2 linked regions of the Notamacropus eugenii genome follow. The protein of the gene in region 1 interacts with the protein of each later gene in a biochemical or structural test. Links are inferred from orthologs where the notes say so. Each region holds a gene or a part of one and is shown in the gene's direction. Other genes may lie near its edges.

The links. The genes of interacting proteins can lie anywhere in the genome.
Region 2: of the proteins of NEDD4L (region 1) and SGK1, one has a biochemical effect on the other in vitro, tested with the Homo sapiens proteins (5 studies listed by BioGRID). The link is inferred for Notamacropus eugenii from reciprocal best matches to the Homo sapiens genes NEDD4L and SGK1.

What each region holds. Positions count from the first base shown.
Region 1 is NC_092875.1:431,905,986-431,913,206, reverse strand, and holds the start of NEDD4L (E3 ubiquitin-protein ligase NEDD4-like), read left to right. Parts: upstream 1-4,209; 5' UTR 4,210-4,303; coding exon 4,304-5,494; intron 5,495-7,221. UniProt on the Homo sapiens protein: E3 ubiquitin-protein ligase that mediates the polyubiquitination of lysine and cysteine residues on target proteins and is thereby implicated in the regulation of various signaling pathways including autophagy, innate immunity or DNA repair.
Region 2 is NC_092873.1:220,168,067-220,175,308, reverse strand, and holds the start of SGK1 (serine/threonine-protein kinase Sgk1), read left to right. Parts: upstream 1-4,234; 5' UTR 4,235-4,249; coding exon 4,250-4,318; intron 4,319-7,242. UniProt on the Homo sapiens protein: Serine/threonine-protein kinase which is involved in the regulation of a wide variety of ion channels, membrane transporters, cellular enzymes, transcription factors, neuronal excitability, cell growth, proliferation, survival, migration and apoptosis.

The sequences.
Region 1 (7,221 bases):
GTGACTTGTCTGCATCGTACAGATAGTATGTGCAGAGAAAAGACTTGGACCTAGATCACTCTGAATCTCAATGCATGCAACTTTCAATGACACTTTGTCTAGCCATCTACATTCATGTTAACATGTATGGTATGGGTCAGAGTAGTTTATGTAATAATATCCAGATATTTAAAAAATTTTAAATATTCCTCATCTATATTTGTGCTAATTATGTGGTAATGGCGCAGGAGAAGATTAAGGATATTTGTGTATGTGTGTGTTTTTTTCTCCCAGTAAGTAAAAATAAAACCCATTAATGCTCACATAAACTCTTTACGTGCTGAGATTTGGTACACAGAATGGTGATATAATTGTGTAAGGATTATTCATTATACGTAAACTAACTTTGTGGAATCCCAAAGTATACTTGTCCACATGGCTTTTCTTTGGGTAGTGTAGTTCAAGATATATCTAACAACTTGAAAAGAGGGATGGATTGTCCTAGGAGAGAAAAAAAAATTCATGACAGTTTTTAAAAAGTGTTTTTTTGTTGTTCAGTGGTTTTTTAGTCATGTCCAACTCTTTGTGACCCCATTTGGCATTACCTTGGCAGAGATACTGGAGTGCTTCGCCATTTCCTTCTCCAGCTCATTTTACAAACTAAAATAAACAGGGTTAAGTGACTTGCCCACAGTTGCACAGCTAATAAGCATCTGAGGCCAGGTTTGAACTCAGGAAGGTGAGTCTTTCCGGACTCCATCGCACCGCCTACCTGCCCCCAAAAGATGGTTAGTTGTCTTCAAAGTATAGAAGGAAAATTTCTATCTGGAATGCTTAATTAAAATAGTCTACAGATAAACATTAGGAAAAAAATGCAAAAAGAGGATCAGCTTTTCAATTTGAGATTTTGTTTCTTCATTTTGCTTAAATGAGGAAAATATATTATACAGCTAAGCAGACCCTTTATTAAAAGGGGAAAAAAAGATCATTATTACGTCTGTATCATCTATAGCAATCTCCACAATCATATAGCAGAAAAATCAGTTTACCAGGATTCAAATCTAACCACAGCAACTAACCAACTGTATGACCTTGGGCAAACTACTCAACCCAGGGTGGGGAGCCTGTGGCCTTAAGGCCACATGTGACCGTCTAAGTACTTGGGTGTGGCTTTTTGACCGAGTCCAAGTTTTACAGAACAAATCCTTTTATTAAGGAAATTTCTTCTGTGAAGTTTGGATTCAGTCAGAGGGCTGCACTTGAGGACCTAGAGGGCCACATGCGACCTTGAGGCCCCACGTTCTCCACCTCCAATGTCCTAACCTCTCTCTGCTTCAACTTCCTTATCTGGAAACTGGGGATAATAACAGCACCCACTTCCCAGGGATGTTATAAGGACAGAATGAGATAGTATTTGTTAAACATTTGGTAAACCTCAAAGAAGGCACTATAAAATGCTGCTGCTACCATTGGAACTGCTACTACTGCTGCTGCTACTACTACTACTCTTACCTACCACTACTACTACCACTACAACTGCTGCTAATTACTCCTCCTCCTCATCTTATTACTACTATTCTATCTTCCCCTCTTTCTCTACTCACTGTCCCCAAAATGTAGGTTCTTATTGTTTAGTACTTTCTTATGATTTTCAAACCAGAATAAAGTTTTACAGATTGATCCAGACAGAAGCAACTTTCTGTCCACCCATTCCCCTCCCCTGTTTGACAGATGAAGAAATAGAGTTGGTGACCACCAAGTTGGCAAAGGGTTTTGTCTCAGGTCACGCTGCTTTTTAGTCAAAGACAGAGGCAGTATTTAAGCCTAAGTCTTCTAGTTCTTGGGGGCAGTATTTCTTGACCATGCTGTTTTCTTGTATTTAAATTGATATGCACCTGCCCTGTCATTTTGACAATCAAATAATGTTCATTTTGTCTTCTTCAGTGATTAACGTTATTCCAGAAATCATCTCAGACAAGTTAGACTTTCTCATGTCTCTCAGGAGCTTTTAAAATATATATGGGTCCAGCGTTAGTGAATGTACCGTTTTACCTCCAAAACATTAGGAACTAGGAAATCTATAAAAACATTATATATAGTCATATAGCATATAAATAATGCTAATATTTTTATTGTCAGTGATCTAAATTCTGTTATTTATATACGCTTATTCTTAGAAATGGATGGGGGTTTATTTTGGAATGGGGGGTTGCTGTTTTCTGTGCTTTATTTGCACATAGGGAGGAAAAGTTAGATGGAAGAGACTGTATTAAATAGTGCCTTAAGAGAAGACAGAACCAACTTTAGTATACTAGATCTTGATAATTAAATGAGACGTAATACCTAGAAAGGAAATAAAGGATTTTTTTTTGGTTGAAATTAATTTTGCATTTAACATACAGTTTCTAGTCCAGAAGATTTCACTATGAAAATAAAAGAATTTCCCTTATTTCTTTATTTAACTATGCTACCTTTAAGATATTTTTTGTGTTCTGTCTCTTGCCCCTCAGGCATTCCTTGTTAGAAGGGTCTAAAATGCATAAGACGTGCTTGCCAAAGCACTGCTGCAGAAAGAATGCTTTTTCTGAAAATTATGTTTAATAATACTAACACCTGGGTTTGCACCAAGCTGTCTGCAGCACTGTTACTGTGTGACGAATAGCTGTGTTCTTTCTTGTTGGCGCGGAGGCCTGTTAAAGACAATATGGGATTGTGCTGGTGCTTGGCAGTTTTAGTGTTGAACAAGCCAGATTCCATTTTTTTCATAATTGGTCATCTTGGCATTTGGAAACATGCTGCTAGAAAACAGATTTGGATGTCTAAACATGGTGTTGGACTCCCCCCCAGCCCAAACCCACCCCCCTACACTATACCCATGATTCCAGATCTGTCGTCAAAACTATACTTTGGGATTTTAATAGAACCTTGTCTAGACCTTTTATTTGGGTTATATTCCTTTCCTACTCCAGGTCAACCTATACAATTGCTATTTCTGGTCTGTGAGAAAGAATTAACATGAAAGACAATCATAAATAATTCTTTTTAGAAGTGTTGTTTGGAGTGAATGAAATTGATGACTTTCTATGAATTTTAAAACCTTTCTATTTTGTGAAGCATTTTGGCTCTTAACAAGCATAAGAATATCCCATATGGGCATCCAAATTGCATTAATTTGGGGCAACATTGCCTCTGCATGGTATCTGTATGAAATTAATACAAATCTGTATATATATACCAACCTTTTTGGATTTTCTTCAGTCATTCCTACCTGGCATGTATGAGGGACGATATTTTCTCAAGCTGCGTTTTTATTGCTCTTTTACTTTCCTCTGGTGAGAATTCTCTTTGTAACCTTTTTTTTCCTATTGGTAGCTGTTAAAGAAAATGTTTCAGGGTAGTGGCAAGATTCATAGTATTAACTCCAGCAGTGTTTTAAATTGTCTCCCATCCCCCACATAGATATTTTCTTCCTTGTAGATCATAGTCTAATTATTTAGCGTTAAAGGGAGCTACTTCTGGGCAGTGTGTAATTATATTTATAGTATGTTTTTACTAGTTTGCATTCCACCATAGTAGTCTGTTGATGTCATACATAGCCCGGCAAAACAAACAAACAAACAAAAGGTGCTGCTTGTGAAAATCTGAGACCTATTTCTACTTTCTAAGTTGGTCTTTCTGAGGAGGTGGTGGGGATGTGGGAAGATGTGGGGTTGTTTTTTAATGGAAGGCACTTTGTGTTTTGGGAGAGTGTGCTGTGTGTGTGCGCGTGTGTGTGTGCGTGCGTGTGCGTGTGCGTGTGTATGTGTGGAAGCGTGCGCGCGCGTGTTGCTTAGTTCAGAAGTGCCCTGTGAATATGATGTGATTTAGATTAATAGTAGCCCTGAGAGTGTTTGCTGCTGTAGTCAGCTGTGAGAGCTCGCCCGCTGGGGCAATGCCTTTCTGATGGAAAAAGAGCAGCTGGGAAGGTGCTGTTTCAGGCTCTTACTGTTTAAAAGAGAGGGAGAGGGAGAGGGAGAGGGAGAAAAAAAAAAAAAAAAACCAGCCCAAGTCCAGAAGCTGGCATTGGAGAGGGAGAACAAGGTCATGTGGCTCTAACCATCCTACCCTCTGTCCCAGTGTGCAGAAGCTCCGATTCCTCTTATCCAATCATGCCTGGAATGCAGCTTGCCACTTGGGTTATTTCTGCTATCTGTCGCTATCGTTGGTGCAGTGCTAACAGTTTGGCAGATGGGACAATTTTTCTTGGAGTTTATGTCTTTGATTTTTAACTTCTGGCAGTGCTTGAATTGTTGTCTCCCTTCCTTTCCTGCCCTCCTGTTAAACCATGGCCCATCGGCTGCGGTTTCATTTTGGCTCTGGTCGAAGCAACACAGCCCCTGAATCAGAGATCCTAGATCGAGAGAGAGAAGACGACTTTTTTATGGCATTCCACACTTTGCCAAGGAGAAACAGTCCTCACCCATTCTCTCAAAATGGAGCAGAGTATGGTGGCGGTAGCCTACAAGAAGTTGGATCTCTCAAACGAAGCACATCCATGTTTATCCCTCAGCTGCTGAATAACATTGATGCCCGTCCAACAAGGAGCTCATCTGTGCAAATCTCCCTGCAGCGCAAAGCTGTGAACGGACATACTGATGAGTGCGGGGCACCAGATTCTCTTGATGAGGACCTTCCCTATAAATTTTCAGACCTTAGGGAGAATTTTACTGCACCAGTAAGTAGACCTTCTTCATCCCAAAGCAGCTCCCAAGAAACTTCAGAAAGAGAATCCCCCAGTAATTCTCCACCAAGGTTGGTCAATGATTTAGGACAACAGGTCAATGGATCTAATAATACTTGCAGTCACAGAGTGTTTTGTACTGTTCCTTCAGATAACCAAGGTGATGCTGTCCCCTCAGTTGCCCAGGGTGTAGAAGGCAATGAAAATGCTTCAGGTTCCAACATAACTGGAGTGAGAATTCAGCATCGTGCTTCGAGCGCAGATATGCGTCAGGTTAGACTCTTGCCCTTTGGATCAGAGGTTCAGAACAACCCTTCTGCTCCTGAGCCCAGGCGTTGGTCTTTGCAACATGTGCCAGATGTATCTGCTAGTTCTGGGAAAAGGTGTTTTGTTTTCCAGTTGCAACAACCCCAAGCAAGCACTCCAAGCCTTGGTGGTGATTTCAATTTTGGATTTACTGGAACAAAGGGGGACAGGTTGGTCAGGTATCCAAGAATAAGGCTAGAGAGGAGTACCTCCTATCCAGTCCAACCTCGACCTGAACGAGTCAGCCCAATGGAAGACAGGGTGAATTCAGAACCTCCTAACAATGGGAGGAATTGTCCTGAAATACAAAGGAGTAACTCCATAGAAAGGATTCCACAGAATAAGGGCTGCACTTTTAAGATCAGGCAAGATCAGAATTCCCGACAACAACACTTTAGAATTCTTGTTACTCGTGGTCATGAAGAACCTCACCAGACTCTTGAAGAGAATAGTTCAGACACACCTGCTTCTACTGCAGCAAACACTCTGGTAAGTTGGCCATCGAATGTGCCATGTTCCTATTTGAACATTAGACAAAAATAATGGGTTCAAATTGGGAATTTTTTTTTTTTTGTATTACAGCTAAAAGAAACTTTCTTCTATAACATTTGAAATTTTCCTATTCAAAGAACCTGGTTACCTATAATTTCTAACCTCAAGTCATGTTGCTCTTATGTTCTTGATATGTATCTGTGGGTCCAGTACTTGGTTGGAATCATAACGTTATAATAAGACTGACTGATGTTTTGCAAGAAAATACTTACCAGTTAAAAAGTTTTGTTCCTTATAAATCTTCAAAGGCCCTTAGCTGACTTTATGTTTGAAGCAAATATAGCCATGTTCTCAATTTGGTGAAATATAATGATTTCCCTTTGTCAGTGCTCAAAAAGCAAGTCCATTCTCACTTCATCCCTCCCACCCCAAAATAAACTTAAGCCAAAAATCAAACCTAGCCAAAGAACACGTGCTAATGTTGGAAAATCCATAAGGAACCTATTTGCAGGTTCATCCTGTGCTGGGCCTTTTTATCAAAAGTAATCTGTGCTTGAAAGTGTTAGGAAATAGGGAAATAATGACGTAGTTTGTCTTAACTAATTAAAATGTTTACATTAATACATGTCCCAAAGTTCTTTTCTGCTGTGTTAGGAGTCAGTCTAGTTCAGATACTTTTGTCTGCTTTGATTAATTAAGAAGTGTACTCCACATGAATAGTGATGCAGTACATGTGATATGTTACTTATTTTTGAAGCGAAATAACTTTTTGGACCAAGCATGGGTAAAACTTTTATGGGGAATCATTAATTCTCAGGTTGCATTACAGTGCAATTTAACACTGCCCACTTGAGACTCCAGGCTCAGTGATGCTGTATATAGCATAGTAAGTGCCCTATCTCCAGCTGTGAAAACAGACTCACTCTCACAGACTCTGGTCTTTGCTGCTTGTGTGTGTTCCTCTTCTCCTAGGCTCTCCCTTTCAGTGAAATGTAGCACAGAAAGACAGCTGCTTACTTCACCCAGCCATATGATGACTCTGCAGCTCTCATACTTTCTATCTGGCTGAGCAAGTGATATGGAAACTTGAATCAGATTGATTTCTTTTGTTTATAACCACTAGATTTAAGTGCTTTCTAAAAGAATTCATTCCCTGTGTTTTCCATTATTGTTAGTATTATTTTGTCTTGGAGCATCATGTAGCATCCTTACTTTACTAAAAAGCTTATGTTTCTGATGGTATGTATGTGTGTATATATGTATGTACGCACATAACACTGTATATATATACATGTATGTATACCCATGTACACACATATGTGTATACATATGCATGCAGATATATATATATGTTTTGCACTGTTTTGCTCTATAGGTGATGCTTACTTTCTATTTTATGTGGGAGTTGTGATGATCTGTAACATTAGCTTCATAAATAATTATTAGACTGGTTGATATCCCAGCTCTACTACTAAGTTCACTATGCCACTTTTTCAAGGGTGCAGTAAATGCTTTCTCCTGGATGACTTTATTCAACTCCCCATCTTTGCTCTTTTCTCTCTCAGTCCACCCCACTCCCTTCCTTTTTTACATATCTTTAACCCCTTTCCAGTAAACAGCTGTGGGTTTCATCATTGCTTTAGCCTAAGGCTATCCCTCATAAAGTAGTAGAATAATCCCACAGAAAGGGTTAGGAGGCTGCTGACATTTTAGAAGTATTATCC
Region 2 (7,242 bases), on another chromosome or scaffold:
GCTATTAAAGCTTAAAACTGCAATGAGACTTTTGGAACACCCTGTATAAAATACTGTGTAATTATAATGATATAATGACAAATGAAAATGTGTCCTTTCCTCCTTGGTAGAGGCAAAACTATATATTCAGAATATACTACATACTGTCAGACTTGGTTGATATGATGGTTAATTTTACTGAAGATTTTTGCTCTAGTTTTCTTCTCTGTCTTTTTTTGGAGGGGAGCTCAGGGTAGTAGAGGAAAGAAGGCAGACATCTGGAAATAAAGAGATGTTAAAAAAAAGAGATCAAAACATTTTCAAATATGTATGTATACATGTATACAGATATATTTAATCTTTTTTGTTTTACATCTCATCTACCTTACACTCAGGTTCAAATCCAAAGCCACATTTGAGAAGGAGAGGATTTAAAAAAAAAAAGGCATGAATCAACCACCAAAAGGAAGGAGAAAAACATTCCACTTCAAATTGAAAACACATCATTCAAGAGATCTCATCACACATTGAGGTTTTCCATTAGAATGAGGTGGAACACCAAGGTTACAGTTTCATAGAAATTACTCTGTCGTTTTAAAAGGGAATTGGAAGGACAGTTGACCTTCAGAGTAGAAAGTGAGACTCATTCATCCTCAATAGGACTCTCAGGCTGAAGGGGGAAATATTGTGGGAGTTTCATTTCAGCTGGGCTCCGGCTCCCAGTGGAATGTGATGTTTCAGTAATGGCAAGATTCTGCAGCTACTGATGGCAGCCTGAGGAGAGGGTGTATCTCTTTCAGCTGCCTGCCAGAGGCGATAGGCCCAGCTCCTTAGTGCCAGTCATCATTACGTGAATGCACCCAGGGACAGGCATCCAGGCTGCAGGTTTGTGAAAACACAAGTAGGAGTAAAAGCGATGATGTCACCTTCCTCCTAACTGATACAGTGCAGTCAATTGGACCATTTTTTCAATTAGTCCACCTCATTCACAAGCCAGGGTTTTTAAAACAGTAATATTACATATTCCAGGAAAATCATATGCCATGTAAGCCTGCTTCAAAAAGAGATCTGGGCTGAATGGTGTAGCAGAGAATGAAATGACTGAATAAGAATCCGGAGATATAAATTAATTCTAACCTTGTTTCTATCACTACCTAGCTGGATGACCTCAAACAAATAATCTAACCTCCCTGGGCCTTGGTTTTCCTGTCTGTAAAGGAAGACAGTTACACTGGATTAGAGGTTCTTAGCCTACGGACTTTTTAAAATAAATTTTGATAATTATATTTCAACAGAATTGGTTTCCTTTGTCATCAATGGCTTCCTTCAGGACAGCTAAAATCTCACCTTCTGCAAGGTCTTTCCCGATCCTCCTTAATGTTAATGCCTTCCCCCTGTGATTATCTTCCATTGCCTTTTATTTATCTCGTTTGTATATAGCTGTTTCACATAAGTCTTCTCCATTAGATTGTAAACTCCTTGAAAGCAGGAACTGTTTCTGTCTTTATATCCCCAGTTATTAGCAAAGTACCTGGCACATAGCAGATATTTAATAAATGTGTATTGACTTGACTTATTTTTATACGTTTAAAAACATTACTCTGGTAAGGAATCCAGAGGTTTCGCTATACAGTCAAGGAGATCCATGAAGGAAAAAGGAAATAAGCATTTATAAAACACCTATGTGCTAAGTTCTTTACAAATATTATCCCATGACATAAAAAAGATAAAAAAGCCCCATACTGGATAATGATCGCTTTCTCTTGTAAACCTGCTTCAGAAACCTGCTCTTTTCCATTTGTTAGTAAATGGGGAACCTCTTGATTTAAAAGTCATTTTGATGCAAAACATAGATTTCCCAAAGAACCTATTTTTTTTTCCAATTAACACAGTAATAAATGACTCTCCTATTTGATTAACTCCATCAAATCACTAGAGTGTCCATTAGTGCATGGATGGTTTGGGTTATGAAATGTGCTGCCTTCAGTTCAAGTCAACACACTCCACTGAGAGCAAGCAACAATTCTGCTTACATTACATTTGTCTTCCAGAAAATTCAGTCTACTGAATGACCACGGTCCAGTGAAAACAACATTCAGTCTGAACGACAGAACCTGGGTTCAAATGCTGCCTGTGTTATCTTACCACCTGTATAACTTTGAGCAAGTTACTCAATCATTTATTTTATATTTCTACGCTAGGATGAGATGGGTTATGGTATAATGGATCAAAAGTTGGTTTTGAAGCCAGGAAGAATTGGGTCCAAATTCTGCCTGCCACACATACTGGCTATGTAACCTGGGGGAAGTTAATTAACCTCCCAATGCTCTAGGCAGCTCTCTGAAACCCTAAATTGCAGACAAGGTGTCGATTTGCATTGCTGGGGGGGGGGGACCTCCAATACCAGTGAAAGGATAGATCCAGTCCCAATTCCCTATCTCACAATGCCCTCAAACAGGGCTGTGTATCACACAGCAGGCATTGCATTTTGGATAAATTAATGCAAGTTTGCACATTTTCTGCATTTTGATTATGAGGTAAGGAGGTGGTGCAAAGTAGTCAGGTGATTTGCTGAAAGTCAAACACTGTAGCAGAGCCTATACATGATGCTAAATCTCTGTGATCCTAATGACCTATCCTGTCAAACAATGATATATACAGTTCTTATTTGGAGACTACAGAATGTTTGAGGTTTTTTAATCCAAAAAAGATATTCTAAGGGATTGTCAAAATCCAGTAGCAAAAGTGGCCAGATTAAATTATATGACTATATATTTCTATTTCAGTCATTTGATATATACAGAATAGCATAGATAAGGAAGCTTTGTTTCTATTTTTACTTAACTGGATCCCTTTAACTTAAAAAAGATGTTCTTTCCCACAGTCCAAAGGAGTTTGATCATTTCTTTCTAAGACTCACGGCCTTCAAATAAATAGCACTATTTGTACAAGGTATTCTTGTTTCCTTTAGTGAAAAATAATACAACAACCCTGTCTTATGTTCTTATTGTGACAAGTCAAGGGAGAGAAAGATAAAAAGGATATTTTGTCACCTTCAGGAGAAAAATTGGCAATTGGGATACCTGCGATTAAACATATTTCTTAACCTGAGGAAATCTTCTGGATAGTTTTATTGCCTTTCTCTCTCCATTTGGACACTTCACGAAATAAATCAAATTATATTTTCATTCAAAAGGCTTTTATTGAAGAAAATATAGTCAATTGTTTTAGAGAATCATGAAACTCAAAGTCGCCTGCATTTCATAAGGAAGTGAGCACATTTCTTTTTAAGGCTGTGACTTAAATGGTCCAAACAACAACAAAAAAGAGGGGTGTGGAGGGGGACTATTTTTGTATTCATCCCAGAAAGCCTTTTGGTTAATTTATCCTTGCTCAGTTATTCCTTTGCACTGTCTCTCTATGTATCTCTCTGCTTCTGTCTCTCACTCTGTCTCTCTCTCCTCTTTCCTCTCCTCTCTTTCATTCTCCTCTTCTCATTCTCCCCTTTCTCTCTCTCTCTCTCTCTCTCTCTCTCTCTCTCTCTCTCTCTCTCTCTCTCTCTCTCTCTCTCTCTCTCTCTCTCTCCTCTCTCTCTCTCTCTCTCTCTCTCTCTCTCTCTCTCTCTCTCTCTCTCTCTCTCTCTCTCTCTCTCTCTCTCCCCCCCCCCTCTCTCCTTCTCTCTCCCCTCCCTCCGCCCCTCTCTCCTTCCTGCTCTCTCTTCTTGCTCCCTCTCAGCTGCTTAACTACAGTTCCCACTGGAACTCGGCACAATCAAAAACAGCTCTCCTCTCCAACCGCGGCAAGACATCACTTGGAGAACCACTAACTGAAAGCCCAGGTTCTAGAGCGGGAGGGATGCAGCCAGGTAAACAGGAGGGACCTAGTCTCTCCTGTGCTCCTATTTAGATTAAAAAATAATACTACAAAGAGCCCGGCATCCTTCGGCGCCGGTTCCCATTACCCGGAGACTTGCCGCATATGGTCTGTGGGCTGCCACCAGGGTCGTGTAGCAGTTGTGTTTGTGAAATCGAGGAATGACTAAAAGAAAAACGATCTAGCCTATGGCAGCCGAACGCTGGAGAAGGTCTCCGCAGTAGCTGGTGCAGCAGAATGAATGAGTGAAGGGAGGACTCGCTGCCTGGAATCTGATGGTGCTGCGTCCGCCCCGCTCTCCTCGTTAACTGTCTCCAGAAGGGATACTGAGGAAAGCCGATGCACTAAGCCAGTGCCCCGTACCGGACCTCCAACTGTGCACTCTCCGCTGTGGAAGATGGTCAACAAAGACATGAATGGATTCCCAGTCAAGAAATGCTCAGCCTTTCAGTTTTTTAAGAAGAGGGTAAGGACGGGTCTTGCTCGATTTTCTCCCTTTTGTTTCTTTCTTTTCTTGAAATGCGTCTTTATGCCGACCTGAAGTGGGAATATTGCTCGGGTGACAAGCCCTCCCCCATAAAGCGGTGTGTGGAAGACTGGTGAATGAACTGAGAAATAAGGGCAGAGAGTACCTGCCTAAGGTGCAGCTGGGGGTGGGCAGGGGGAGGTGAGGAGAGGGGGATGGGCAGGAATTGCTAGAGACAGGGTCGGCTATGGAAAGAAAGATTCTCTGTCAAAACCAGAGATTCTGTACCTTTGAAAAACATAATTGGATCAAGTCCAGTTATAACTGTAGCTTTAGTTAGGGGCTCTTGAAGTATCTCTCTCTTTCTCCTAAGTCTGTCTGTCTCTGTTTCTCTGTCTCTCCGTCTCTCTCTCTTCCCTTTCTCTCCCCTCTCCATGTTTGAAGTATTCAACTTTCTTCCTCCTCTCATTCACTTTGTCTAGAGTGCTACATTACCGTCCTCACTCAGCAGGAGAAGTACCTCTGGGGTCCCCAAATCATCCAACCTGTAACGGGCTGTGTCTCTAGCCACAGCACCAATTCATGGGAGAAGATGTAATTCAGAACTGAGTCAGTAAAGGGCAAGCATGACCTCAATCAGAAATATTGAAGGCCATCCTTCAAGAGCTCTCTTTGAATTCCCCTGTGTTCTGGTTGAGCTAATTTAGTACAATTACCTTTGGAGGTTTTTTTCCGGAGGAGGGGGGGAGCTTTTTTGTGAGAGAAAGCAGCAAGGGTCTGGATTTGACCGATACCTCAGTGTTTATTATACATTAATGCATTTTTTTAAATGTGCACACCAGAATATCCAGAGCATTTCACTGTGCTCCATTCGTTGGGAATGGGCAGAAAAAGGGAAATATCATTTTCCTTTCTGTTTGACGATAAAATTATGCCATTGTGCAGACAGCATAGGTGGTCTACATAAACCTACATATTAATGTCCAAGTAGGAGGTAAGCCGAATGGGTTTGTTAAGTGGCCCAATGACATCAGAAACTCCTTAATGAAGAGTGTTTCTTAGGGAATGACAGCCTGACCCCACCTCCTTCCCATCGTGTTTAATACCCTGGGGCAGCCCCATCAAAATTATTTTGTTCATTCATTCTTTCTGTCCTCCATTCATGTACTCTCGGTGAGATGCCAGGAACAGAAATGCAGTCACTCACTTCATTTAACCCGCCAGCACAACACAATGAAAGGCAAGTCAGTTGAATTATGAGCAGGGATGAGCAAACTCCCTGCACCAGAGAAGCAAGCTGGAAAAATACAAGCAGCTTGTCAGGAAAAGATGAGAGGGTTGGAGAGCTTTTTTTTTTTTTTTTTTTTTTTTTTTTTGCCAGACTTTGATTTATTTCTCATTACTGAAGTCACATCATTCCAAAAGGTCCTGGGGGCAAAAGCAAATGCATGGAAAAGAATATTATTTCTCTGTTAGAAGATGCTTGTGCAAGAGCAGAGGCAATAAATACCAGGTGATGCCTGTTACCAGGGCTCTGACTGATCCCTAGGAAGATCAAGTCACCACAACTAAATGGATCTTTACGGTGTCTCTTTGCCTACCTCTCTCCCCCAATATAAAAATAAAAATCTGTCCTTGAAAGATAATGGTGGTCACATATATCAGCAGTCAGTGAACCATCTGCTAATAAAACTATCCTGTTTCTCCCTGAAATAATTCTATTAATTCATCGTTTGTTTTTTTGGGGGGTGGGGTGGGTGGGAGGGATTGTTTTGTATTTTTGCTTTAATAGTTTTAAGAAAGCAGGTATCCTTATTCAATTGTACCATTACAGAATCGTTTTGGTTTTTTAAAAAGTTGCCTTTCATGTATCTTGCAAAGGAAATGTGCTCATTGCAATACTAATTAACCATCTGCTGCCCTTCTGCTAAAAACCACAAACTACCAAATTACCCATTTGGTGCTATATCAATCCTTGATACATATGTGTGTGTATACATATGTATATATGTGTGTGTATACATAAGTATGTATATATATGTATACATTTAAATAGACCAAGGGAATTTACCTACCTTTTATTTGGGGTGGATAAAAGATGAGAATGGAAGCAAAACAAGTTACACCAAGATGACTAGCCATGTGTTTGATCTGCCTACTGATCTGTACCTATCAGATTGCTGGAAGTAGAGACAGGGTTTCAAATACTCTCCCACTCTTTTTTTGTCCTTTGTCCACTAAAAGATGACGAGGATATCACCATGACTAGGTAGGTAGAGCTTTCAACTTAGGAGTTAGGTTCCTTGATTTTTCAATGACATCATACCCTAAGTCCTATATTTTCAAAGTTGATTCCAACTTATGATAATAGATAGCATTAAAATAGGAAAAAAAATCTTGGAGATCATCTAGTCCAAGGCTTCATAATCTTTTTACCATGGTTGCCTTTGGCAGTCTGGTGAAGTCTATGTATATTGCTTCTTAAAATAATGTTTTAAAATAGGATTACAAAGAAAACCAATTTTGCTGAAGTACAGTTATCAAAATACTTAAAAAAAGTAGTTCAAGTGTGTCCAGTTAGAAACGTCCAAATTCTAGTTTCTCATTTAACAAATAAAGAATGGAGACCCCAAGACCTTACATTTCTTGCCTAAGGTTATCCAGTTCCCAGAGTGGTGTCAGGACTGGAATTCAAGTCCTTTAAAACCAAATTTGCCACTCTGTCCTATTACTGCACTACTCTGCCTTGTTTCATGGTATTGGATTTTCCTAAAAGAATAATCCTTTTATTTTTGAATTCTATGGTTGAGATTCCAGGCATAACTGCATATCATGTTTTAACCTAGTTGGAAAATCTTGTAAAATGAATCTTTGTTTGGTGCCCACGGAGAATTCTGGATAAGTCCTGAATGAAAACCTAGAGG